Oryzias latipes: one gene and its partners. The protein of the gene in region 3 interacts with the protein of the main gene of each other region in a pairwise test. Links are inferred from orthologs where the notes say so. Each region holds a gene or a part of one and is shown on either strand. Other genes may lie near its edges.

Region 1 (4,170 bases), about 2.7 Mb from region 3:
AGTGTGGATGTTTCTTGGTAACATAAATAATACAATTATTTTTCCTACTGGTCAGAAAGTCAAAATTTGGCCAATTTGTCGCAATACAAAAAAGGCGATGGCTTTGTAGAGATTTATGAAATTATGTCTGAGTGACGTTCCGTGTCTGTCCATACAGGATCCATCCTTCTCGGGGATGTGGGCCTTTCCGGTTCTCTGACAACATGTGGTTGATTATACCGACATCTTTCTACAACCTCTCTGCAGCCACACAAGAGTTTCTTTTCTTCATTGGCTCACAGGCGTTTACAATCCCCCTGTTTTCATTATCGGGGTAAATCCATTTTCATTTTACATGAAAATCATTGAACTGTCTTGCACTGTGCAGATATAGATGATATTTTTCTTTGAATGCCAGTTGATTCTTTACCAGCTGACTTGTTTCTCCGTCATAGTTTGGTGATGTGCTACGTCATAGCTTTGTTCTCCATCTATGGGAAAAGTGTTGGACTGCTAAGACTGCAGCTCAAACGGGTAAGTTGATGGTATCTAAAGCAGTATACTAAGAATTGGCCATGAGTTAACAAAGATTTTTTTCAATATTTCCTTTTTTACTTTAACTAATACAGGGTCTGGTCTTTTTTGTTTTTACAGGAGAGCCGGGATAAGCAGTTCTTAGTCAAGCAGATTGAGGAACTAAGTCGGTAGATGACCAAGATACCATTTGATAGATACATATATATACTGTATCTACCACTACAAGACTAAACAGCCTCTGGACAATGTTTAGTCTCTGCAGTACAGTAACATGAGACGATGTCATAAAGAAAGGATGTTTATTAAAAAGAAAAAAAAAGCTTCATATTATATATACATAGTGAAATTACACCAGATTCTTTCAAAATAAAATGTTAAAAATGTTGCACATTAAACATCACTGTTCTTTAAGCACTTTAAAAGTGATCATTTAAACAGGTGTTTTGATCATTTTTGGATATAGACTTTGCAAAGAAATGCATGTAAAAAAATTGAACCTCTAATACTGTTTTAAAAAAACAAGACAGTTGGACAGTGTTTTTGTTAAGACGAGAGCAACCAAAAATAATTGTTTATTTTTGACCCTTTTGAGACTACGGTATGTATTCAAACTTTTTATATTCTTTTCTTTAAATGTTGTGATTTATTTGTATTTTTTTAATGAGAAGTCCTTCGTTTGCTGTTGTTTTTTTTTTTTTTTATTGCTTTTTAAAGTTTAGTCTTGCTCGCTTATGACCATTACATTTATTTCTTTTGAATAAACCAGTTGGCGCTCGCTCCAGCTCCATCTAACGATTCTTCTTTGTAATTGCTTCAAGAGTTGTAACTTTTTTTGTTTACTTCCTGTTTGGGTCTACTACTTCCGGTGGACCACAGCAAACCTGGAATAGATGAACTCTCCAAAAAGTCGGACAGATTTGTTTGTTGTTAGACCTTAGGATATTAAAAAAAATAATACTGTGCTTTTAACGAGCCAGGTTTGCCGTCATGAATGCTAACTTAATGTAGAAAAAATGTAAGCTAATGTTTTAAAATCTAGACAATTGCGCAGATTTTTTGCTAATTTCTGCTTTACTAATCATATCAGACTCAGTCACCTGGCTGATTCGCGTTCCATATTGTTGTAGATCAAAGGCTCGGGTCTGTTCTTCCTCTAAATTTTGAGTTAGCTAACTGCTAACAGTAACACCATCATGAATATCCTTCCGAAGAAAAGCTGGCATGTCCGCAATAAAGACAATGTAGCGCGCGTGCGAAGGGACGAAGCCCAGGCTGCAGAAGAGGAGCGCGAGGCTAAACGCCGCGTGGAGCGCGCGGAGCAAGAAGTATGTTCAGTTTTACCGTTCGTTTTTTGTGTTTACATCTGTCTGTGTTTCGTGCTGGCAGAGTATACGTTAACAGATCACGTGACAGTTTAGCTGGTTCTGAGCTGAAAATGAGTTGGAAACCTCTGCAACTGAGTAGATTATATGTATTTTTTTCCTTTCCTTTTGGGGGGTTGTTATTCACAAATCATATACAAAATTGAGGTTTGAACACTATCATTAAGAAAGTGTGTTGTTCCATCGCTAATATGGAGCTGATGTTTATTTTTTATTGTGTTGATAATCTGAAATAGATTCAAACTTCATAACATGCAAAAATTGTCATGGTTTGTTTCCACAGGCGCGAACAGAATATCTGAGAAGAAAGGCCCGAGCTGGTCTCCAATCAGTGGAAAGCACAGGAGATGATGGGAGTCAAAGCGGAGGACATGTGGAGCATCTCAATCTTTTTCCTTTGGAGGAGTCTTCAGATAAGAAGGGGAATGAAGAGTATCTCAAAGAGAAGAAGGAGGAAACGGTGATTGTGCTGCTACTTCTGTTTATATTCTGAAAATTACAGGTTTATCTGAGTAAACACTCACTAAAAATAATTTAGGAAGTCCATTTTATGGATTTTTTCTTTTCATTTGTTGTAGGAGAGGAATGGTGTACAAATCCCAGGAAATTGATTGTCTGATCCAGCACAGATTAACATCTATTTTTGTTTGTGTGCATAAAATACTATAACTATTGTGTTTTTCATGTTTGAAACTCTCATTCTAATTCTGCATTCAAAGAATGAACACTTTTAACAACCAGACTGCATTTGCTTGACAGTTAGTTTTCCCTTGTTTATCACGGGAGTTATCTTCTAAAAATAACCCACATCAGGTGAAATCCACAAAGTAGAATTCGAGATGTTTTAAGGCTGTAAAACGGAACTTTGTTTCATGTTTAAACTCTTAAAGTTCAAACATTTGTAGTAAAATAAGTCATGTATTATAGAATAAAACAAAAAAATCTGTTTGTGGTTGAAGATTTAGATATTTGGCAAGCTAAACGCATTCTGTACAGGAGACACCGCTTGGAGGAAAGTACTTGACAAAGTCTACTACCAATCAGGATGCAGAACAAATTGAGCTGTTAAAAGAAATCAATGAAAAGAAATATGAAAAAAATCAGCGAGAGCGTGAAAGATATAGCGAGGGACCACTGTACTCAAAAGAAAAAAAACAGGTTGCTCATCTACAAGTTGCAAATGAGTAGCACTCTGCAGCTTTTTGTTGATTTTTAAATCAGTAATGCTAATTTAAAAAGGTAAACATCCACTTTTCCCCACCTAATACACTTGGTTTGCTGTGGTTTCTTATTCTACAGTGGCAAAAACGTGCAGCTGGATCTCATCAGACTCTGTCAGGATTTTTATTTTACCAGGAAGTTCTGATTCTACTTTTATGCAACAATGTTCAGTCATCTATTAGAGAAGGAAAAATGACACAAAGAACAATTTGCATGAAAAGGCAATGGAGTTTATTACAGTTTTTTTTATTCTCCAATACAATTATTTGAAATGGAATATTTTAAATATTGATCATAGCTACTCTGGTTTGTCCAGGAGAAGCAAGAGCGAGCCATCGGCCTGCTTGTTTCTTTAGGCCCCCAACCAGGCACTGAGGTGACTCCATGGTACATGCAAAGCAGCGCAGAAAAAGAAGAAGAAGAATCGGAAAAGAGGAAGGGCATAATTGAAGAGGAAAAGGCGAAGAAAGACCGCAGGCTGAAGGAAAGTTTGGATCCTTTGAAAGATATGAAGAAAGCATTGGGGGAAAGTGAAAGGAGGCACCACAAGAGCAAGAAAAAGGAAAGAGGAGACAAGGGAGAAAAGAGGAGCAGTGGGGAAAGGTAAGAAAGACTTTGGTTGCTTGAATGTCCTTCTAATGATGTTGATTACATAATAACACTGTTTTTTTATGGTGTTTTCTGTTTTTTTTTTGCCTTTTCAGCTCCATGGAAAGATTGCGTGCTGAACGCTTACAAAGGGAAGCTGAAGAAAGGAGAAGAGCCCAGGCTTTGCTTGAGCAGAGGAGTGGGAAAAGGAAGGATGCAACGCGAGAAATGGACGACAGGGACCGGCCTTACAACAACGCTTACTTCCCAGAAATTGCCCGAAAACGACAGAGGCGAGACAGAGAGAGCTGGAGAGATGAGATTCTCAAATCTTGAGTTTCATTATTCTGAACATTTTACAATCAGATGGTTAGGATTCCCTATGACTTTTTTTTTTTCATTTGTCCTGTTCTGTCCATAAAAGGAAAGTCTTGCAGGAACTAGAGGTCATGTCCAACAGCAG
Region 2 (3,140 bases), on a different chromosome or scaffold from region 3:
TTCAAAAGTTAGCATGTGTATAAACATTGATCATTTTCCCATTAATACATTTGGTTAGTTTAACTAACTCAAATAGCTTCAGACAAATCTTTGTCTGACATACTAATGTTTCTGATTTACAAGGAGTTCTTGAAGGCAGCATCGTATTGCAAACAGCGTCACTGCTAGTGTGACCATTTACCCTTCATACATTTTTTTTAAAATAGTTATGATTTATCATGGAAATATTTTTTATACCAATGATCTAAAAAAATACTTGTATTTTAATTATTTCATAAAATGCTGCTGCACTTTTTGGGGAGGTTGATGGTTAATACCCTTTAAATGAAACCTTTGTCATTAAGCTTGTTTTGAATCACAGTGCTTCTGTCTGAAGCACAGAAGTACTCCTTACATCTGAATTAACATCTAAATAAAGATAAAATTGTCCTCAAATAAAATGTAGCAATTGATGCTGTAACATTTTTACTTTTTCCAAAACAAAACACAAAAAGCAAAGACAAGTTTTAACCAAAAGTATTTATTTACAATGTTAAGTATATACAAAAGTATTTACACAACATCAACTGAAAGTTTTACTTTATACTTCAATGACTGTTTTCTGCCACAGAAGAGCAAACCAAGAATTTTAAAGCTTTTTTTTCCATTTGCCCAGTTAGTAATTCATGCAAAACACAGGAAATGGCTCACACCATCTCCATCTATCAGATACAGGTGCTTGACAAAAATAAAAAGCTAAAAAGGCATGAAAGCAAACTGATTTCTTCCAGGTCTGACAAACCAGAGGAAATACCAGTTCGAACAGGAAAAAGGGAACTGAAGCAAGTTTTTACTCAGATTATCAACAAACACATCTCGCTGGGTCTGTCAATGTTTGTGTAATGCCAGTACTCAGGAAAACAGTGTTTCAGTCTGAATCGCTACTGCTGCTGGAGGAATCTGTTGACATGGCTTCAACATCATCTTCGTTCTCCTTGTTGTGGCCTGGAGGCTCCAGGCTGAAATCGTTGCCGTGGTGAGGAGGCAGCATCCCTGCAGAGACGTCCGAGGACTGCCAGGGGTAGTGAGGGGTCAAGATGTCTGAAGAAACACAACACAAAAGGATTGTTTTTCCAAATGTCAAGCCTGTAAAGGACCACCTCAGAGAGGTATTCCTGAAAGCAATGTTAACTTAACCTGACTTTGACCCTGAACTCTCGCTTAAGTAGGCCTAAACTTGCTTACTTTGGGTTTGTCGGTTCCAAAACACCAGGTATGAGTTTGGTTAATTAACCTCCTCCCGGTAACCCTGAGTTAACGCGCGTACAAAGCGAGAACAAGGTATTTTCAATGGATAGAAAAGTGAGTGCCTGTGGTAATTGGAGCACTCGGGGCAGTAACCCCCAAGCTGGAGGAGTGGCTACCACAGATACCTGGAAAGACCTCAGACCTTTCAGTTCAGAAAAGCGCAGTGCTAGGAACAGCTAAGATACTGGGCAGGACCCCCAAGCTCCCAGGCCTCTGGTAGAGGACCTGAAATTGGAGGAGAAACCACCCGGAGGGTGAGAGGGGCGTTTATTTATTTATTTATTTCAATTTAATGTTTTTCCATCCTGATTTATTGTATTTCTTGAATTCTTATATGTCTAAGTTTGAGCCTCCAGATATTCTCATTTGAAGAACATTAACATGAATTATCTAGTGTGGATTCACACTATGAAGCCTGAATTCAGTTATTATGTACACCAACTTTCATTTTTGATCTTACAACGATATTCAGCACAATGGATTTAGTCATTCTCCTCTCCCTCCCTCTCAATCATGGTGCAGAAAAAAATAAACATACCAGGATAAAATAACTAGGCAAAACAGAGTAAATCAGCTAGACAACAAAATACATTTAGACAAATCCCCACACTTAAATCCCAATACATCCAGACAGGCAAAGGGAATGGTATCCCACAATTCCTTGCGCTGCAGCGCAACTGGACCAAAGTTACACCTACTTAATTGAATTAGTTTGAACGAAAGTAAAATAACTGTCTGATAACTATGTTTTATTTTTAAGTTGACTGAACTTAAAAAAATGATTTATTTTAACTGAAGCAAACAATTAAGTTAGATCAACATAAAAAAGTTTATCTTTCCAACATCCATTCGTGTTTTCGGAAAAGTCCCGCCCCTTTAACTGTCTCCACCAATCATTCATTGGAGGCTTAATCAGATGTCATCAGTCTGACCAATCATCATTGTTTTTTTTTTTTTTTGCATTTTGTACTAAAATAGATAACTGTTTGTGTTAAGTTTTCTTATTCAAACAACTTAAATTCAAAATTTTACAGTTAGCATTAAATAGTGAATAAAATGATTTAATGTTGATCAATTTTTATTTTACAGACAGACTTTTTCTTAATTGTATTCCTTGTCTTCAAATGTGGAATTCAGTCATTTTAGTTCAAATGTATTTGACCCTCACACTGTTTCACCTCACCAAATCTGGCCCTCCTTGCAAAATGTTGGACACCCCTGGTCTATGATAACTGAAGCGACCGAGGGTGACATCACCCATAGAAAATGGTTTACTTCTGGTTCCAACCAAGTGACGTCAATCCAGTCGCTATTTTTTTCCTGATGCAAACACCACCATGTTGGAACCAGTCAAAATTTCTATTGTGACCACTCTCAATAATCGTGAGTGGAATTGTTGAAATTGAATAATTTGCAATAAAGAAAAAATATCCTGAAAACAATTAAAATTGCTTCCTGTTTGAAATTAAAACAGAAGTTAAAACATTTTAATCGGAGGATCAGCTGTCTTGCAGGGTCAGAGGTCATACCTGGTAACCGTCCAGCAGCCAGAGCGTCTCCTGGCAGGTGTCCGTTCACACCATTGCTGGGCAGGTTTGCCATGTGTCCGAGGATCCCACTGCGCATTTCCAGGTCAGTTGGATAAGGTCGGCGTGGATCTCCTGGGAACCGAATAGCGAATAGCAGTTAAAACAGGACTTGTGCAAAAGGTTAGCTTTTGCTGCAGTGCAGAGTTTAATACCTGGAACCCAGTTCAGCGGAGCACACACAGCGTTACTGGCGCTGATTCTGTGAGCATACTTTATGATTTCCTCTGATGAGACACTTCCTGCAAAAAAGTTAAAAAAACAATT
Region 3 (4,191 bases):
GGCAAAAGACAAAAACTTCTTTTTACACACATCCTAGGTGAAAATTTATTTTAAAGTTCAAAGCTTTGAGATCCCTTTTATAATTTGCCAAATCAAACTTGAAAGCTTGCAAGCAGACAAATGGGAATTGAATTATGTCTAAGCACAAAGCCTAAATAAATCAGAGACAATGTATGTGCATGGATAAAATACTTCAATATCTGAAAAAAGAAAGAAAATGGATGAGAACGTTTATTTCATCAAAAAGAAAATGTCTAAATGTTAAAAAGAAATAAATTATTGAACAAATTGCCCTTTCTAACTGCACATTGTTTTGCAGAGTCACGCTGGTCATCACCCCTGAAAACAATCCAAATCTTGTTTTAGAAGGTCTTGAACTAAAACTATTCTTAGCTGCACGTGTAAGTGCATCTGCTGCATAGAAAACAGGACTCAGAGACATGTTTAATTCATCTCAGGGAAAAGCACAGTCACAGTGTGCCGAATATTCTCATCACACTTTCATGAATCCTTATACAGCTGTGGGAATCTCAGCTTGAATGTTCCCACAGAAATGTCTTTTAGGGGTCCTTATGTATGCAATCAAACACATTACCATGCCACCTTGAGGGTGCATCATGTCAGCATTCAGAGACCTGTCACAGACCTCCTGCACCTGGGTAACAAGATTACTACAAGAAAAGTAAACAGCCATGCTCTAGTTTTGTTGATAGTTTCCACTTCGGGGTCAAGTCTGGTCAAATGTGACACAGAACAGAACAAACATGAAACTTTGAGGTCCACAGGGCTGTGCAGTGTTAGCCTGCTGTCTGTCTGTGACATCAGAAAGCTAAATGAAACCACCCTAAGCAGTTTGCTCTGCAGCTGATTCAATTTGTCAATCAAAGGGTGAACAGTGTGTTCCCAGCTCTAAACTAAGCAAAAATAAAAGCAAGAATAACTAGTATGCACGATTTCACCAATACTCCATGCAGTTTCCATACAAAATGTTTTAAGCCTTTAGAGACTTTGTCTGCTCACATTTTTAAGCTGGACTGCAACGTGCATGACTCTCCATCACTGTTTCTATTGCATGAAATTGTTAATATTCATCTATTAAAACAGCAGAAGACATTTTTTGTTCTTTTTTTTATCTGTGAGATTATTATGATAACCAGAAATCTGTGTTCGGGGCCTCGCTAATCTGAGTGCCATTTCTAAGGCAGCTGCTTAACATCTACTTTCTCACCTCTTTTTGCTCCCCACCTTCATTTTTCTCACCCCCCCTCTCTTACCCTCACTTAAAGGGCTGGGGCTCTGCTGCTGGCTGACAGCCTCCTCCAGGCTGCTTATGATGTTGTTCTTGTCTCGGAGGCGCTGGCGATACGAGGACCGTAGGGCCTTCATCTGACGTCTGTGCTGAACACGGTGCCTCTTCAGCTGAACTCGGTATTGATCAGCTTGCTGCTGCAGCTGCTGGAAATGGGAGTACTGCTCCAAAAAACTCAGCAAGTGGGACATCACGGCCACCAGGGGAGACTCCGTCAGCGATGTGGTCTAGAGGCAGGCAAATAAAGTTGAACAGGAATCCAGAAAGCTGAGATTATAGAGCTAACACACGCTTCAGTACCTGAAGCGGGGGGGTCCTCCTCTTCTCAGCCTCTTGCTTGAAAGACAAAAAGGCAGCTAGAGGAGTACACGCCGGTTTGACCAAGTCATCCTCCTCATCCTCATCGCTCAGTTCATCACCGTCACTGCTGCTGCCTGCACAACATCAAATGAACAAAGAACAATGCAGCCAATAAACTCAAAAAGTAAAAGAAATGTACATTTTTTCTATTTGACTCACTTGATTCACTTAAATGAGCACAAGCTTTCTTTCCCATTCTGGGGGTGTGGCCATCACTTCTCTTGCTCCTTGTTTCCATGGTAACAGGTCCTGGCTCCTGAGCACATCATTGCATGCAAGGGTCAACGGCAACAGAGACACCCAAAATAAGCTTTGCAAACACAGACATGCACATGCTTGCAAACAATTGCAGTTTTCTGTAAGGATGCCAGCCATGTAAACAAGAAATAAATGAAAATAAACGTTTTTATTTTAAAGCTGACATTACACATACGTCTGGGGAAGCATCGTGTTCCCCCTGCAAGGTTTCCTCCTCCTCTTTTTTAAAGACGGTGTAGAAGATGTAGACTAAAAGGGAGTAAAAGGCATACATCTTCACGCTGTCCAGTCTCACCTGTCAACGACAAACCTTTTAGAACAATAAAGAGGCACAACTGTCACACTTGTGTCAAATGTCTCGGTAAGAAATGCAGTGGTTATAAAATACAGGCTGACAATGAATCATGACAGCTCAAGAGTTCACTCTGGTTTAAAAACTGTTTTCGGTTTTTAGTCACCTCCAGAATTTGCTTTCTTCTTTAAGTTTTTTTTACCTTAAATGATGTCTTTTGTTCGGTGGCAGTCAGTCCATGCAGCCATTCTGAGGTTGCTGCCACGCTCCATCTGTGGCGTTAGGTTTGCAGCCGTTGTTCTCAGAGCTGCAGCAGCATCGCTGCACTGCTCCGTTTATTCCATATCCTCTCTCCTCCCTCTGTTCCTTGTCTCCACACTGCTCCATCCACAGGCAGCAGCTGCAGGGAGCATGCTCAGTGCGGTTTCCTCGTACTGCTGCAGGGATGTTGTGATAGATTAGACTGACATGGAGACCGACGGAGGTGAAGAAATGAAGCTGATACCACAGCAAGAGCCTGGTGATGGATGAAAAGCAGCAAGTCTTAAATCTTCCTAAAAAGCAAAATGCAACATAAAATAATCATAAAAACAATGTATTTCTTTACCATTGGCATTTACCAAAATCTACTCAAAATATCCAAATTATTTTTTTGTTTGCTTTGTTCTTACTCTTGATTAAGGTTGTGTTGGATTTGTTTTATATTAACAGTAGAACAAAAAAAATAGCAAAAGATCAAGTAGGAATCTGAAAACTCAAACATGTTTGCTGAAGTGAAAAGCATCAAAGATCAGCTTTGAGGTTTAACAGAACTATTTCCAAAAGCTGGAGCAGAGCCAGAGATACTTGCTGATTTACTGCAATGAACCAAAGGAGGAATTTGTCCGCATTCACACTCCTGAAATCCTCAGAGACCATCTGCAGCATCCCCTCCAATCATCTGTAAAAAGAATATCGAGGGCCCTACAAGACAAGGGCTCTAGTGGGGATGATAAAGAACTAAACTAATTTAAGCTGTGGTAAGTTAAAAGGTTAGATCACTGGGTTTAAGCAGAATGTTGGTGAATAAACATGTCAAACAGCTGAAAAAAATGCTGTGTTCAGTGATTATGCTGAGACTGCAGAGCAAAAGTTTCAGCTTTAATAAGCAGGAAATAAAATTACCACAAAGAAATGTGCAACGCTTCCTGTGCCACTTTATTTGGAATGAAATATTTGACATTTAAGTCAACACACAAGTCATTTGTTCAAAGCAATCCAACTAAAATTTATTAGTGTTTTCCCTGCTGAATCATCTCAAAGCTAATGTGTTTGCTCACAGGTTTCTCACTTCCTGCTTTCTATTAATCCATAAACACTGCAAAATGTAAACCTTAAGAAAGGAAAAAAAGGCCCTTGTTTCAATAAAAAAAGTTGTGTAATACACCACGGATTCTTTTGCAGACTCTTTTGATGGGATTCTATGTAGTCCTAATTGAATTGTACTCTTCCAATTATGTGTTTTGCTGGTGATTCTTCATTCTTCAAGGTCTTATGAAGTGGTCACCCTGGTAACTGAGGTGTAATCAGCCACTCCACCAATCTGGAGGTGGTTCATACTCTGTGGTTTTCTGCCTGTTTATGACATATGATTTTTTCTCTTCCTTTTGTGCTGACTAAGGGGTTCACCTTACCTGTCAAGGATCATCATCCTGCTGTAATGCCTCTTTATCATTACAGTTAGCATTTCCTTTACATTAATAAACCCTTGTTGAATTCTACTAATTGGCACATCATTAAATGTTTAGCTTATGTCTTAATTTTGGGAAAATGTTCACCATTTTTAAGACAAAGGAGATTAAAGTTCCTCGGTTATTTGTTGTGTAAAAATGTCCCTTCATGGCTAACAGAAAAATTGCAAACCCCCTAATTTGTGACGTTATCAAATAGTTAAATATTTGGTATTAAAGGATTTTCTGAATAAATGTTAGAC
Region 4 (4,118 bases), on a different chromosome or scaffold from region 3:
GCAGAGACACTCTGGCGATGCAGCGCTAGACGTTTTTTATGCCTCGACTTTGATGTCCGACCATTCCTTCTTTATTTCGGCCACGGTCCGAGGTTGTGAGGCTACAGCATTTGGCGTCTGCCACCGTTTGCCACTCAAGTGCCTTTTTGGCATTAGTAATGCCCACACTGTGCCCTCCAAACAACATTTCCTCCTCTTTTCCACTTCACCAACGATAACTTCTACTTCACATTGAGTGAAGTTACGTTTTTTTTCATTTCCTCTCTGTGTTTGCCATGATTTCGCAATCCATGAATATTCATTTGTGGGCGTTTCGCGGACTATTTATGGGCAACTATGGGCGTGTCATGAAGCCGCAAAAGCTGCGCTGCATTTAGAATTGATTGTGATTTATTAAGGGAAAGATGCGTAGGATGTGCGTGCGCACGGTTTTATAAATCTGAATATTTCTGTGCGTACGCACGTCCTATGTTTCATCTGTACGCCACTTCTGACGCAAATCCTACGCAAAGTTTTATAAATGAGGCCCCAGGTTATGTTATGAGCATGAGTTGCCATGGCAACTTGACATACCCTGAAACATACCTCCATTTCTGGAACAGATTATCAACTTCCTTAGCCTCAAACTTACCGTGGGAGCTAGCATAACCTGCTTTCTGGAATACCCCCCAGGACTGCATATTCAGACTACGCCATGTTTGCAAATATATCATTTGTGGCCACAAATTAGTATTTTGTACACACAAATAAGCCTTTTGTGGTCACAAATTAGCATTTTGTGGATACAAATTAGTAATTTATGAGCATTTTGTAGTCACAACTTAGTATTTTAAAAGGCACGGGGGAAATGTACAGAGCTCTAAATGAAACAAAATTTTTACTCATTTAAAAAATTGTAACCATGAATTAGTATTTTGTGTAGACAAATGACCATTTTATTATTTTTTTACATTTTAGTACAAACAAATGAGTATTTCAGTATCTTCAAGTTCCAATACTAACTTGTGCCCAAAAAATACAAATTCATTGCCTCAAAATTCTAACTTGTGCGCACAAAATGCTAATTTGTGGGCCAAAAAAAATGCTACTTTGTGTGTAGAAAATACTAATTTATGGCCAAAAATTAATATTAGCAAATAAAATAGTATTTTAGCATCTTCAAGTTACATTACTAATTTGTGGCCACAAAATACAAATATTTGGCCACAAAATGCTAATTTCCCCCTTAAAACTCTTATTTGTCCCCATGAAATACTATTCTGTAGCCACTAAATGCTAATTTGTGCAAAAAAAAACTAAAAATACATGTGAGGGAACCATTTATTTATTTTTGTAATGTCATTTCCAAGGCTCCGTTATTTCGTGGCCACAAATGAATATTTAACTATAATTTTGTAGGAAAAACTAGTGGCCAAAAATTAGTGTGCACAAATTTGTGTACACTAATTGGCATAATGTGTGCACAAATGTGTATTTATTGCACAGAAATTTGTATTTTAAAGCCATATTTTGTTAGCATTTTGTGCACACATGTATTTTTCCCACAGAATGTTGTTTTTGTAGGCCACAAATTAGTAGAAGGAACTGATCCTCAAATTTGTGCACAAAATATAAATTTGCGGGTTCAGGGCTCCATAGAAATGTCAGTAATTAAGTAGCTATTAAAAAACAAGCATAAGATGTCCTAAAGTTCTACTCTGGCAGCATCTTTGTGCAGTGGATCATGTTGAAGGAAGACCGGCCCACCGTTCTGCGCTCTGATTGGCTGGGTGATCCATCAATCAGGAAATGCTTTATAATGGATTACACCCGACTCTATCAGGAAGGGCGGGTAACAAACCCTTTATTTAACCCTGTTGGTTAAATGAATGATGAATCAAATATACTGTACAGTTATAAATAAAGATTTCTGCAGCTAATAGAAGCCATTAAAAAAAACAACGAAAGGCATACTAATAATTTGCCTAAAGCTCATATTTGAAAGACAGACTACTTTATAAAAACCCAGCAAGTCATTTTTCCTGTCTGGACTGACTTGATGGATTTAAATGCGTCCTTCATTATCGCGATACGCCTCGAAAAGCTCCGCAGCGCCCGATAACCCTCGGCGAAACACCCGCCTGAAACACTCCGGTACTTCAAATCACACTCAGAACCGAGTCTCGTGTGTTAATCGAGCAATTTCCCCTTCGTTCGGCCGCGCGCGACCTCCAAACGGACACGAGAACGCTGCAGTCCTACGAGAGGAAAGCGGGTAGCGGCGATCCGGAGCAGCCCCGTCTGTCCTGGAGCGACGCCCACTTCAGGCTCCAGCCAGCACACAATGGAAAAAAAAGAAAAAAGAAAAGACACCGACCTCCTCCAGCGGCGAAGCACGCCGCGAGCTCAGATAAACATGTCCACACCACGAATCAGTTTGATGAAACAAACGCCCGTTTCCATCCGCGAGAGGCGCCCCCACTCCTCTCCGGAGGTCCGGAGCACAGCGAGCAGCTTTCGCCTGCTGCCCGGAGCGAGCGACGCCTTCGCAGGCGCGAGGTGTCGGCAAGGACCCGCTGACGCCCTGATATATATACCCCGTCAGAAAAGCATCGATACTCACTGGTGACTGGATTCACCCGCCGCCCGGCACACTCTACTTGCCCCTGCATCTACCTCTATATCCATTTTTTTTATTTAAATGATTATTTGTGCCTTTTCTGACCCTCCCCCTCCGCTTTTTATTTCTCCCCGTCCAGGGTCCACAGCCAGGCACTTCCTGCTCAGCCCTAAAGACCGAAACCCGGTCAGAGAGACTGGAGCTCCGTGCTGACGTGGGTGTTTATTAACAGGGTGCCCGAGGGTTCAGGGAGCCATTTAAAGCCCCAGTGCCTTTTTACAGGAACAGCACGTACCTCAGCCTAAAAACGACCATACCCACTCGAGATCACGCAGGAATTCATGCTCACCTTACCATGATTTCCTCCAGTATCCTCTTATTACAACATATTTCTTTCTCCATCCGTATGAAAAAAAAAAAACCCCACAAAAAATAAAAAAATACAGCACCAATAATCTTAAAGAATATGTCCTTAGGGGTTTTTCCAATTAATACATTTCAAAAGAAAGCACAATTTTACTGTTAGAAAATTATTTTATTCATCATTTTTATGGCTTCCATAATTATAAAGTTAAGAAAAGAATCCCTGCTGTTCAGAAACAACCAAATAAAGACAAAAAATCTGTTGAATAGATTTTAGTTACAAATTCCAAAAATAATAGAAAGAAATTCAAATTTGAGGCCTTATGTTGCATTTATGACATGACAAAAAAATAGTATCTGCTTTGGTGGATTAACACAAAATAATCAATAACACCCCCCAGCATTCATCAAGAGCTGGTGCTCTTGGAAAATCCAGTGGGGTTCATGGACTGCCAGCGCCACAGATCTGCACCTGAATGCAAATGAGGAAGAAAAAATAAAGATGGCACAGATTATTGAAAAATGATCGCAGCTAATTGAATGTATTTTCTGCAGATTATCAGACTGCACGGTGTGATGGAGCCATTGACTGTATATGAGAACTGGACTGAGGTACCCATCCCTGCTTGGGTTCTAAACAGGAAGTACCTGCTGACTCCAAGAAGCCATAGACTTCTATAGTAAAATAAAGTAGCTATTACTCAGTCATTATATCTGGCAGAATAACCATTTTTGCCCTAAAACCTTTTTTTAACATGTTCTTGCTAATCCTATTTTTTCTGTAGTTATTTAAGTTTTAAACTGGGCAATCAGATGACTCAGAGGTCTCAGATTGAACGTTTGATTGACAGATTCTCCCGAGCCCACTTTCAAGTGGTAGGGGTGTGGCCTCTCAACAAGCTTTCTCCTGATTGGCCAGAATGGTTTGCCATAGAAATGATCACTCAGATCGACTCGGACCATCACTGCTTACTGATGTTATCTGGCTCCAACGTGCCAGTGTCCGTGTCACGAAAAATTGAATCAACCTTTTTTCACTGGAGCCAGAAGTAAGTCACTTTCTATGAGTGACGTCACACTCCGTCCAGTTTTAATTTAGAGTCAATAAGTGGAGCTTACACATCCTCTCCATGTCAAATTCAGCCTTCCATCCCAG
Region 5 (3,500 bases), on a different chromosome or scaffold from region 3:
TGATCCAGGTGACCAGGTTAGCTGCAAAACTAGCAGGGCAGGAGCTCATGAGGAACAGGGTTGGAGACATCTGCAACTGAGTGCTTCTCTGCCTCAGCAAACAAGGTCAGGCTGCACTTCTCCAACTGTAAATCTGTGAAAATGTCCTAAAAATAGAAGATAACTGTCCAATCCTTAAGTAATGCCTGATGGATTTTTCTTTTTCACACTTTTCTTCAACTTATAAATTACGTAGGTCAAAAGTTGTCTGAGTTCTGATAAGAACTACAAGTCGGGTTGTTTTGATGTAAAACTCTGGTTCCCCCTATGTCCCCTCTGTAACAATGGGCTCCTCGTGAGTTTTCTCAAACAAGGTTAAAACAGCCTCTATTGATGACAACTTTCTATTTATGCATAAAATGTAATAAACCAGTTTTTGCCTTTTTTGTCTTTAGTTGTAATTTTTTCACAGCTCCCTGGTGTAACTATGATAGTCATCCAAACCTGTGCAGAGGTTTGTTTCATCAAGAAGCCATCATTAAAGGAAAATTTAAAATGACACCTCCTTCATTAACTTGTCCCAGCACACGACACCCACAAACTTCTGGGTTGAGTGTCATAAACTTTTGCATAACTTCTCACAATTACAATAGCCTTTCTATGGCAGAATGCACCGTCATGGTGCCTTTGACTATTACCGGTAAATAGGGCGACAGTGGCTCAGGTGGTTGAGCGGGTCGTCCAATGACCGAAGGGTTGGCGGTTAGATCCCCGCTCCCACCAGCCAAAAAAAAATGTCGTTGTGTCCTTAGCCACGCCTCTGTCAGTCTGCCTCTGTCAGTCTGCCCCAGGGCAGCTGTGGCTACAACCGTAGCTTACCATCACCAAGTATGAATGAGGAGTGAATGAATAATGGACACAATGTAAGCGCTTTGAGTGTCTTGAAAAGCGCAGATAAATCCAATCCATTAAATACTTTATTAATCAACCAGGGGAAAAGGAAATTGCTTTAAACTTGGGACTGATGTAAGAGTAATGTGGTCAACTGTAAACTGTATTGACTGCAGTGTGCTGTGACTTCCTCCTAAATAGTGACTGCTACATTAACACCTCCGTCCTCGGGGCCCCTGCTACATGACAAACTCCTCCTTCAAGGTGACTCAAAGCTACTTGAAACATGAAATCCTAAAGTAGCAAACTTTTTTTTTTTGCAAATGCACCATTTTCTTCTGTTTTTCACTGCATTTAACACCATTCATTTTTTTCACTATGTAAACATGTACTTACAAAAAGAGTCAAAGGATGTGAAGGATAAAGGGGGAGGGAGAGTTTTGGGGGTGTGAGGGGGAGTTGAGAAGAATGAGGAGTGTCCAGGAGTCTTGGCGTGTAGTTGAGTCTTCATGCTTCAGTCTCTGTTCACGCTGCACCAGGCGGCTGCACAAACACACGACAGGAAGATTTAAGGGAACCGCAGCATTGAAAGCGAACAGATTGATGATGGATTAGAGAAAATTTGGCAAAAATGGGGACAAATGCATGAAAAATGAATGTTGGAAAAGAAGAGCGTAAGCATCGGCACAATCAAGTGCGTGTGGTTTTAAATTGTTTGCTTTCAATGCCAGGTATCTTTAGAAATTGGCGTCTTTTCAGAACTTTGATGCAGTAAACAGTTTTGTGATTGTGCAAAGCTGCAGTTCTTCTATCTAGGTCTAACTTAATGATTGAAATTTGAAAGGTCCCTTTTGATGGGAGCATCTCTTTTATCACACATCATTAAACTATGCAGTAAATTTAAAAAATAGGATGAGAAATGGTTTGGCCCCTCAAATTTACCACGATTCCCTTGACACATCTAGCTGTAAAATGAATGTCTGATGTGGTGAAACCTGCTAGATCTTAAAAAGACACTTGTTCTTTAACCCTTGTGCTATCTTAGATGACCCCACCCTTGCATTGGCGTGTTCTCCCTACCATGACAAAGGTGGATAAAGATGGAAAGATTTCATGTAATCCATGGACACCAGTGAGATTCAAAAATCATTGAGGAAAAAAGGTTCAGAGCACTGTCTAGTGGGTCTAGATGACCCAACTCCCAATGTTAAAGTGCCTAGGATAGCACAAGGGTTAATATGAAAAACAAAGTCACTGAAACATAATTCTAAAGGCACTTATGTACTATGATTACAGCACACTGTAAAAACTGTATCTTATGTAAAAAAAGGTGCTTATTTTAAGAAAAAATGTCCTGGAAGAAAAATACCCTCATCAAGAAGTTTTTCAACAGCAAAATAATTTTAGTCTGAAAAAGCGCGTCTTAGTGACTAGAATTATTTTTTCTTTTCTTTTTTTTACCTCATTTTCAGATTTTTTATATATTGCTTATTTTAAAGAAAATCTGCAAATAGGGTTAAGATTGACTTTATTCTAAGGGGCCTTTTTTTCAAGAAGATTTAAATGTCACACTTTCATTTGGTTTAATCTGCTTTCACACTGCACTCTCAGGAGTGAATCAAACAGTTTTGCAGTTATAACAGTTGCCTGCTAGGGGGCAGCATTGTCCAAAATAAGTTGTCAAAGTGAAATTTCTGACATTTTTGACACTAGTAATAAGGAGAACACTGATCATCCTCCTTATGCTAGGGTTGTAAGTGCAACTGCCACCACGTGATGGGGAGGTATCAGTAGAATCTTCAAGATTTCTGCCCGCCACCCGATTTTCTTTTTTAAAATTAGTAGGCGTGGTCATGAATGTTGATGGTGGCAGGGGATGACGCCATTGCGAAATTGGGCAACAACTAAGCGGCCACAGGGCGGTGGCAGCCCGATTGCCAGCCAGCAGCAGCTCTAATTAAGCAAATGTCTATGGATGGCTGCCAGGAAGCCCGGGGGTATATAAAAAAAAGAGGGCCCTTCAGCCTGTGACTGGACTGCCACAGGACAACCTTGAAATGTGCCCGGGCAAAAAATTGTCCGGTCGCCGTAAAATTTTAACTTTTTATAAAAACCTCCCTGGCCATCGCGCTGCCACCTGCCCAATTTGCTGACAGACTTGCATTTAGGTTGCTGCGCAGTGGAATTCTGGGTTATGTGGCCATATCCTTATGGAGACATGGATCTAGTTTATTTGTGTTGCATTTTCAAAGTTCCTTTTCAAACAAAAGTTTCTTTCAGAATATACCAGTCAAATTTGAATCCTTCCTATATTTTGTTTTTGTTAAGTGAGTTTCTCTTTTCTAGAAAGTTAAAACACGAGTTTAAAAAGGTCTAAGAAGGTCTCAGTTCAGCTCAAAGAAGTATGGATTCAGCCAGTCAAAAGTCCTGATCAAATAAATTATTATCTGAACAGGATTCATTTTTGTACTCACCCGGCACGGCTACAGAGGACATGGCCTCCGGTTGGCACAGCGTGTCCACCTTTACGTGCTGAAAGGCTTTGTTGGGAGCCGACTGAAGATGTCTGAAATCACACCAAGCAGTTGGTGATGGCACATTCATTTCAGGAGTCACTCAAAAGCCTGCAA
Region 6 (4,110 bases), on a different chromosome or scaffold from region 3:
ATACACCTACAAAGGTGGCCATTGATTGCAAACAAGTGCATTTTTTAATAAAGAAAAGTCCTTCCCATTTCATGCTATCAGCAATGGCTCCCCATGAAAAAGAAATGTCACAAAATCTGAGAAAGGAAATTATTTATCTGCACAAAAAAGGTGAGGGCTACAAGATCAGCAGCAAAGCTTTACATATCAGTCAAAATCCTATTGCAAAAGTGATCCAAAACTGTAAGAAAGATGGACGTGCAACCATCTTACAGAGACGATCATCTCGACAGGTGAGTCCTCTGATGACAAGGGTTCAAGAAAATCACCATGAAGGTTCACTGCAGTTAGCTGAAGCAGTAGAAAAAGCCAACTAGTGTGACTGTTTTACACTGCAGAGGAATGGCATGCATGATTATCATCCACAAAGGAAGCCTCTGCTAAAGCCCATGCACTAAAAAGCACGCCTAGATTTTGCTACGGCCCATGCTGAAAAAGATGAAGACTACTGGGTCTCAATACTCTGGAGTGAAGAGACAAAGATCACCGTTAATAGAACTAATGGTTTTAAAACTGTACGGCGTCGCAAAGGTGATGATTTCAAAGAAAAATGCATGGTGGTGGCAGTGTCCTGATGTGGGGCTGCATGGGTGCTGCTGCTCAACTGACAATCACTCACCATCCGGCATCCAGGCTCTAAAAGAGGTTCTTCTTGAAGAATGGAAAAAGGTAGATGTTGCAATATGTGGCCAACTTGTTCATTCCATGCCTAGAAGAATTGGTGCTGTCCTAAAATATCACAGAGCTCATACAAAATACTAGATGATTCACACTTGTGCTATCCTATGACCCCCCCCTTCCATTGACGTGTTCTCCCTACCATGACAAAGGTGGATAAAGGTGGAAAGATTTCATGTAATCCATGGACACCAGTGAAGATCACAAATCATTGAAGAATAAAGGTTCAGAGCACTGTCTAGTGCAGAGGTGGGCACTGAGGGCCGCATTCCTGCATGTTTTCCAGCATACCCTACTCTGGCATGTTCTAATTGGCTGGACACACCTGAACCAGGTAATCAGCCATGAGTAGGGCAAGACTATCTGGAAATCATGCAGACACACCGGCCCTCGAGGCCTGGAATTGCCCACCCCTGGTCTAGTGGGTCTAGATGACCCAACTCCCAATGGTAAAGTGCCTAGGATAGCACAAGGGTCACATTAGTACTTTTTAAAGGGGGTGTAGTTGTTTATGCTGAGCACTGTACATACATTTATATATATATATATATTTTAGGCCTGCACAATATACCGCAAATTTATCGTTATCGCGACATTAAGCTGTGCAATATGCATACCGCAAAAGACAGCGAAAATCGCAATAAATGGTTACCTTAAATGTGCTAAAACAATCTCATGGCAGCTTGAAATATTGAACAAATGAAATAAATCCCTTTATGCATTTAACCAATCGGAAGGACCCGTTCACGTTGTTGATCAATCAGATGAGCCCTTTTATGTTAGATGTTTGCCTCCTACGTCGACGAGGGTCATTTGGAGTATCATTTGTAAACTGTTGCAGTGAAATGGAGATGATGTTTTTGGTTGTTTTGCTATTTGTTTATATACCGTGAATTATATCGTTATCGCAATATTAATCACCAATATCGCATATCGTGCAGCCCTAATATATATATATATATATATATATAACATTTATAATTATATATATATATATATATATATATATATATATATATATATATATAACATTTATAATATAGGTAGATTTTTTGTCCTACAGTTACTGTGAACACCGTTAATAATCAGAATCAGAAGTACTTTAGTGATCCCACATGTGGGAAACTTGTGCGTTACACTAGCATTGTAATCTTAAAAGAAAGTAGAATAATATATAAATAAAATTTTTGTAAAAAAATAAGTTGGTATAATTTAAAAACTATTTAGAAACAGTACAGGCAAAAATGTGCAAAAGTTATCTATTACACTGTGAGTTATTGTAAAGTGTTATTGTATTGGGTAGGAAGGCTTTCTGGTATCGGACAGTTTTTGTCTGAGCCTCTTAGAGAAGAAGCTGTTTGTCCAGAACAGGGTGGAGAGGATGGCCTGGGTCGTCCATGGTGGATCAATAAAGTCTGACTGATGGACTCCTTTGTCTTATTCAATGTGCCTTATAGTTCTGTGCGCATTATTTATGACATCATTTTTGTCTTTTTTGTGTGTTCTTTCACCAAAACAAAAGGAACCACTCCAATCCTCTTCGTCGGCGCTCCAACCACCTCAGCGGGGGCAGCGGTGGGATCAGCAGAGGGTCCAGCCCCTTACTGTCTGATGGACAGGTGCGCCTCAGACTGGGCATGCAGGTCTTCTTGAACAGTGCAAATGACATGGCATTCATCCGTTACTTTGGCACTGCTGACTTCGCTCCGGGCCTCTGGTTGGGTCTGGAACTAAGAAGCCCGAAAGGTAAAAACGACGGCTCTGTGGGCGGCCGGCGTTACTTCACATGTCGGCCCGGCTACGGTGTCCTGGTCCGTCCCAGCAGAGTCACGTATCGGGGGATTAACGGTTCACGTCTGGTGAATGATGGCCGCTGAGGCCTTTTTCAACTTGATGCTTAAGTTTTCTCTTTTTTCCTCAATTCTTTGGTTCTTTTCTTTCTGAGGCTTCAGTCACAGAATATTTGCTTATTAGACCTAAAAGATGTTGAAGCACTTTAAAGTCAAAGAAGAATTGGTATGCAGGATTGGCACAGTCTTCAGAAACTAAGATGCACTACTTTCAATCTGATTGCAATAAAATCATCCTTATGACAGATTTAGAAAAATTTAACGTTATAATATTTCTGTAGTTGAAGTAAATTGTATTAAATTGTATTTTCATTAAATAAAAACTGCACACTGGTTGGTTTCCAGCTTGAGGATGTAAAGAAACCTGAGTCACTACTGGGTTTTATATTCTGCTTTAATGTGGAGAAAAAAAGGTTGATGAGGACCAGACCATGTCAACACAAAGCAGCATTAATCTGATCAGCAAGACTATAGAAATAATTCCTAACCATCGCAAGTCTGATTCCAGTAGTCCAGGAATAAAGCTAATAATCAGATTATGGAGGTTCCTGTAAAGAACCACTGCGAACATCTTTAGATCTATTTTCCCTGTTGTTTTTTAATTAGGATTTTGCCGTTTGTAGCCAAAATCCAAAAACCTGGGTCGTTTTCTAGGACATAATTTCTGCAGAACGGCAGGAGTTCATTAGAAATTCACCTCTGAGCTGTGGGCGGACCGTTGACGCTCAGCAACTCAGATCACCTCCCCTTCCTTGTTACTGAGAGCTTAGTTTCAAGCTGTCCTGCTGGCTTACAGCCCCCAACACCCCCACTTAACAGTAGCGGTGCAACAAAAATGGTGAACAATAGAAGAGCTATCCATGGAGAGCTATTCTTTATTTATGTCATCCATCATCAGAAAAATGTCAGAAGAGTATGGAAAGACTTGAGGGTAAAAAAAATAACCTGAAACATTCAAACGTTTTCTTTTTAAATGTATATGTTTCTTCATTTGATAAAGGAAAAGTATATGTTAAAAGAATAAAAAAAGATTATATTCTGTTTATTTTGTGTCTTTTTTATTTGTTCCCTGTGGATTTCTCCAGGTTTTTTTTGCTGATGGTGTCAAAGCTGTGGAAGCTCTGTCTGAAGGAACCATTGCTATTTTGTCAGTAGCCTGTGCACACAGATTAGAATTTGAGTGGGATTGGCACACTTTATTATTTGTTTTCTTGGAAATAAATCCTGCACCTTGTTACATGTTACTATTTGATCCAGGGAGAAGTCAAATATTAAGGTTTTGCGTTAAGTAAACAGTAATAACTGTAGAATAAACTGGTGCAGAAGATGGGATTGTGCAGCTGATGGTGATGGAGGGCTTTTAGGGCCAAAGAGCCTATGTGAAATCACAGAAGGTTTATAAGATGGAAACAGTTTTAAAGGGAAAAACTATGTGTCTCTCATCCAAAACTGAGAAAAACCTTTCATGGATGAAAATGTTAAATTCACACTTACATTCTGTAAGCGATTGTAAACGATTGTCTACATGCAGCTGGAAGAGGAA
Region 7 (3,500 bases), on a different chromosome or scaffold from region 3:
ACGCATGTTCAAGAACGCACTAAATGCAGGTTCCCATGGTGTTCACACTGGACTAGCTTTTTGTTTTTCCCATGTCTGCCACCTACAGTTGGAGTAGGTTTGGTGCAAATCTCGTGAATCTTGCTCCAGGCTTTTTCTTTCACCTCTCCATTCCAATATATGAAAGACTTGGTGTCAAAGACTTCTGGCCGGACACAAACCACATTTATAAAATTCTCCTTCATGTTCAATTTTCAAACAGTTGGCAACTCTGTGGAATAAAGGGGACGTCATCGATACGTCACCACTGGTTGGTCAAAGTTCGTCCTGGTTTAACTGTCAACGTGCGTTCAGTGGCCATGCGTTTTGTACGCAGACCCTGAAAACGGTCGTAGTTTTGAACGCGGAATCCCGACATGCACATTTACATGCATTTATGTTCGCGGTTCATCGTGTGGTCACTTGAACCGCGTCAGGCGGTGAGAAGGTTGCTTTAGAAAACGTTGCTGTGTTACCGATCACAAATAAGACAAGTGTTCATGATCAAGAGTCCTAAAACCAACCGTGGGATCAAAATTTGACCCAACATGTCTGATGTTGGATTATGAGACTTGTACCATCTGGATCAAGTCCATACCAGTCTGGGATGGCAATGCAAACCTTCGCAGAAGACTGCAGACAGGTTTCCGCCATGCTGTGAGCCAACAGTACAACACAACACACAGAAATAGTACCCATATACCAGTCTGGTACCAGGGAAAGGCCACTGGTGAACTCCTTTTGGGAAACCGGTTCCATCCCCACATATCTGGCCCTCCTCTTGCTGCCACAGCCTCAGCCGTCCAGATGTCAACTTACCATATCATCTTTTAAATATTGCTCATTTTTCTCCCTGTGTGTTTTTTCCTTCCTCTCTCTTGCCTTCTATCTCCTACTCCTTTTCCAGGATGTCTTCCAAGCGACCAGCCTCTCCATATGGGGGGACAGATGGAGAGGTAACCATGGCAACCAGCAGACAGCGAGTGGAGGATGAGGAAAACGAGGGACTGGGCGGTGTCATCCACCTCCCTCTGGCCTCCTACTGTGGCAAGGTGTCCCCTCGCTCGCCCTCTAACCGAAATCTGGAAAGCCCTGCCAACACGGTAAGACATTGAGTTTGGAACGGTTGATAGGACAACATCGGATAATGGACGTTTTGGAACAGGGGTTAGACCGGGAAGTCTGTTGGAAAATTTCCATTGAGTTTTCCCATCCTAAAATATTAGTGTAGGGCAAACTCAGACTGCAGAAACACCAGTCTGCCCGTTTTGTGGCTTCATTGGCTCGTTGCCTCTACACCATAAAAATGGTCAGACTATGACCTTGTGGTCTTGTGGTGTCATCATCATAGAAGTGGAGAACTGGCATTGAATTATGGATGTTTAAGCTAGAAACACACTTTGTTTACGCTTAGAGTTTGCCATGTTTTCAAGTGTATTGAGAAGTTCTGGGGATGAAACCTAAAGATGTTTCAGACATTTTCATTTGACTAAGAATCCAAAACGGTGCATTCGCCATCCAGCCTGGATCTAAAACACCTGTTTGCTTTGGTAGAGCGTCTCTGACGATAAAAGCACTTCTTAGCAACGAGGAAACCAAGTTGAGTGATTGACATTGTTGCAGTCTGGTTCTCTATAAAGGACAAAGAAATCAACAGAAGAGTTGGATGATGGGAGGTCATCAGGGCTAAAGTCCAAAACTACATTTCTAGGTGTTCTTGCGTTTTGGTACCAGCTGTTGCCTTAAATTCAGTTGTGGGATTGTAGAATTTGAGTTGCCAAATGTTGGTGCTGAGTAAATAAAACCTGGTTTGTTGTAGCTGGAGGACTGGTCAATCACTTTAGAGTTGGGTGTAAATACGTGCTAAATGACACACTAGCGACGTAACAGCTAGTGACACTTTTTACTCTTCTTGTTTGACTTTCAGCTCACTCATACTATGGAATTTAGATGTTATTGTTCAATAAACGCCATGAAACGCAGCACATCTGCAGAGGAATTTGCTGTTTTTCTTGGATCAGGAAAACAGCCTTAACCTCACCTTGAAATGGGACGATTGCTGGCTGACAACGATCGTTGACCTTTACCCCAAACCGACAATAAACGCTTGTAAGCAGTAAAACAATGAAATTGTGTTTATTGTCTGTAATGACAAGCTAATCCTGCAATTAGCCCTCTGATTAGGCTGCAGGCTCCGCCCAGGGTGAACTCCACCAGTGCAGCAGGTGCTGACTGTAAAGCCATGCAGACGTGCAGACTTGTTGTCACTCGGACGCTCCGGGTTATCTGTTACTTTTGAGGGCAGTGATTAGATTACTGGTGGTACATTTAGATTTGAGGGGGGATACACAATTGGCCTTATCAGTGTTCGTTTCAGGAGATTGCAAACGGAAAAGTTCTTCTGCCACGTAACACACCACAGCGTTGTCGTCCTTTGCTGGACAGCAGAGAAGAGGTTGTTCGTAGAGAGTGGGTGGATGGTGCAATCGTTGATTGGGGTTATTAAGTGTGCGCCAGGGCGTGTGTGTTTTACAGATGGACTTTACTGACTCCTAGCTAGCTGTAAACACGTCTGTTATTATGCATTGTTTTTGTGGGATGAGGGTTAACAACAGCAATTCCTTCACAGCTGACTTGTCAGGTGATGAAAACAAAAGAAATGAAGGTGTAGTCCTCTGGCTCCGTCTCTGTGGTGGGGGTCTGGTAAGGGTGACAGGGGGGCTCTTGGGTGCCTGGATTGGCCGGGCTGCTATATTTTTGTCTACCCCTGGCTCTGGGGTGTGGGTGGGGTGACGGGACTCCTGCCTGTGCTGGAGCATCCAGTGTGATGAAGGTACATTCTGAGAATTCATTCAAACTATACCCATGCCCAAATATGGGCATTGCATTGTTTTTACACCCCTGTCTGTGTGCTTAACCTCACGTCAGTGGTGCGCCCTGTGAGGTCAGTCTTCTATGTAAGAATACACTTCAAACCTCTACATTGTTGTGTGCAGACTATTTGTTGTTGTGTTGATGTGTGTATGTGACAGCTAAGTCATGTAGTTCACTTATGACACTCTTATGCTATGACTCCCCCACCCACTCTATCTCCCCCTTCTTAACCCCTTACCCCCCTCTCTAACATCCCACTCCCTCTCTCTTCTTTTTTTCCGTCCAACAAGGAATGCAAATAAACATAATTATCATAAATCAAGCTTAGCCTCAAATACAGAAGGGGTTTATTCAAATATACACGTCGTGTGTGTGTAGATCCATGAACCCCTATAGTGACAGGAATCTGTCCAACACTAGAGGCCTGATCTGATCTGCTCAGCTGTTGGACTGAACGGGTTAGAAAAATAAAAAAGACATGAAGAAAGAGTTACCGAAAGCTGTTGGGGGGGGGGGGGTTAGACCCCGAGGCGATTGGGATAGGGGCGTGTTCTGTGCAGAGCTGTCAGAACTGGATGGAGGGGCCACATAAGTGGCTCATCAGAGAC

The links.
Region 1: the proteins of kinesin-like protein KIFC3 (region 3) and leng1 interact in binary tests that used the Homo sapiens proteins (3 or more experiments, as listed by UniProt). The two-hybrid records come from large-scale screens. The link is inferred for Oryzias latipes from reciprocal best matches to the Homo sapiens genes KIFC3 and LENG1.
Region 2: the proteins of kinesin-like protein KIFC3 (region 3) and med4 interact in binary tests that used the Homo sapiens proteins (3 or more experiments, as listed by UniProt). The two-hybrid records come from large-scale screens. The link is inferred for Oryzias latipes from reciprocal best matches to the Homo sapiens genes KIFC3 and MED4.
Region 4: the proteins of kinesin-like protein KIFC3 (region 3) and zbtb8a interact in binary tests that used the Homo sapiens proteins (3 or more experiments, as listed by UniProt). The two-hybrid records come from large-scale screens. The link is inferred for Oryzias latipes from reciprocal best matches to the Homo sapiens genes KIFC3 and ZBTB8A.
Region 5: the proteins of kinesin-like protein KIFC3 (region 3) and necab2 interact in binary tests that used the Homo sapiens proteins (3 or more experiments, as listed by UniProt). The two-hybrid records come from large-scale screens. The link is inferred for Oryzias latipes from reciprocal best matches to the Homo sapiens genes KIFC3 and NECAB2.
Region 6: the proteins of kinesin-like protein KIFC3 (region 3) and clip4 interact in binary tests that used the Homo sapiens proteins (3 or more experiments, as listed by UniProt). The two-hybrid records come from large-scale screens. The link is inferred for Oryzias latipes from reciprocal best matches to the Homo sapiens genes KIFC3 and CLIP4.
Region 7: the proteins of kinesin-like protein KIFC3 (region 3) and sox5 interact in binary tests that used the Homo sapiens proteins (3 or more experiments, as listed by UniProt). The two-hybrid records come from large-scale screens. The link is inferred for Oryzias latipes from reciprocal best matches to the Homo sapiens genes KIFC3 and SOX5.

What each region holds. Positions count from the first base shown.
Region 1 is NC_019874.2:19,390,365-19,394,534, reverse strand, and holds the start of leng1 (leukocyte receptor cluster member 1), read left to right. Parts: upstream 1-1,370; 5' UTR 1,371-1,709; coding exon 1,710-1,841; intron 1,842-2,181; coding exon 2,182-2,358; intron 2,359-3,435; coding exon 3,436-3,722; intron 3,723-3,823; coding exon 3,824-4,043; 3' UTR 4,044-4,170. Other genes in the region: tmc4 (transmembrane channel-like protein 4), read left to right, coding at 158-313, 435-513, 634-687.
Region 2 is NC_019879.2:14,003,286-14,006,425, forward strand, and holds the end of med4 (mediator of RNA polymerase II transcription subunit 4), read right to left. Parts: intron 3,116-3,140; coding exon 3,029-3,115; intron 2,949-3,028; coding exon 2,817-2,948; intron 1,081-2,816; coding exon 908-1,080; 3' UTR 501-907; downstream 1-500. UniProt on the Homo sapiens protein: Component of the Mediator complex, a coactivator involved in the regulated transcription of nearly all RNA polymerase II-dependent genes.
Region 3 is NC_019874.2:16,688,907-16,693,097, reverse strand, and holds the start of kinesin-like protein KIFC3, read right to left. Parts: upstream 2,801-4,191; 5' UTR 2,422-2,800; intron 2,223-2,421; 5' UTR 2,202-2,222; coding exon 2,103-2,201; intron 1,926-2,102; coding exon 1,829-1,925; intron 1,744-1,828; coding exon 1,610-1,743; intron 1,537-1,609; coding exon 1,275-1,536; intron 1-1,274. UniProt on the Homo sapiens protein: Minus-end microtubule-dependent motor protein. Involved in apically targeted transport. Required for zonula adherens maintenance.
Region 4 is NC_019880.2:16,761,523-16,765,640, reverse strand, and holds the start of zbtb8a (zinc finger and BTB domain-containing protein 8A), read right to left. Parts: upstream 2,801-4,118; 5' UTR 2,668-2,800; coding exon 2,603-2,667; intron 2,588-2,602; exon of another isoform or gene 2,357-2,587; intron 1-2,356. Other genes in the region: gale (UDP-glucose 4-epimerase), read right to left, coding at 3,370-3,434, 4,082-4,118. UniProt on the Homo sapiens protein: May be involved in transcriptional regulation.
Region 5 is NC_019864.2:24,547,758-24,551,257, forward strand, and holds part of necab2 (N-terminal EF-hand calcium-binding protein 2), read right to left. Parts: intron 3,437-3,500; coding exon 3,345-3,436; intron 1,414-3,344; coding exon 1,385-1,413; 3' UTR 1-1,384. UniProt on the Homo sapiens protein: May act as a signaling scaffold protein that senses intracellular calcium.
Region 6 is NC_019880.2:28,155,299-28,159,408, reverse strand, and holds the end of clip4 (CAP-Gly domain-containing linker protein 4), read left to right. Parts: intron 1-2,239; coding exon 2,240-2,594; 3' UTR 2,595-3,610; downstream 3,611-4,110.
Region 7 is NC_019881.2:1,329,743-1,333,242, reverse strand, and holds part of sox5 (transcription factor SOX-5), read left to right. Parts: intron 1-925; coding exon 926-1,121; intron 1,122-3,500.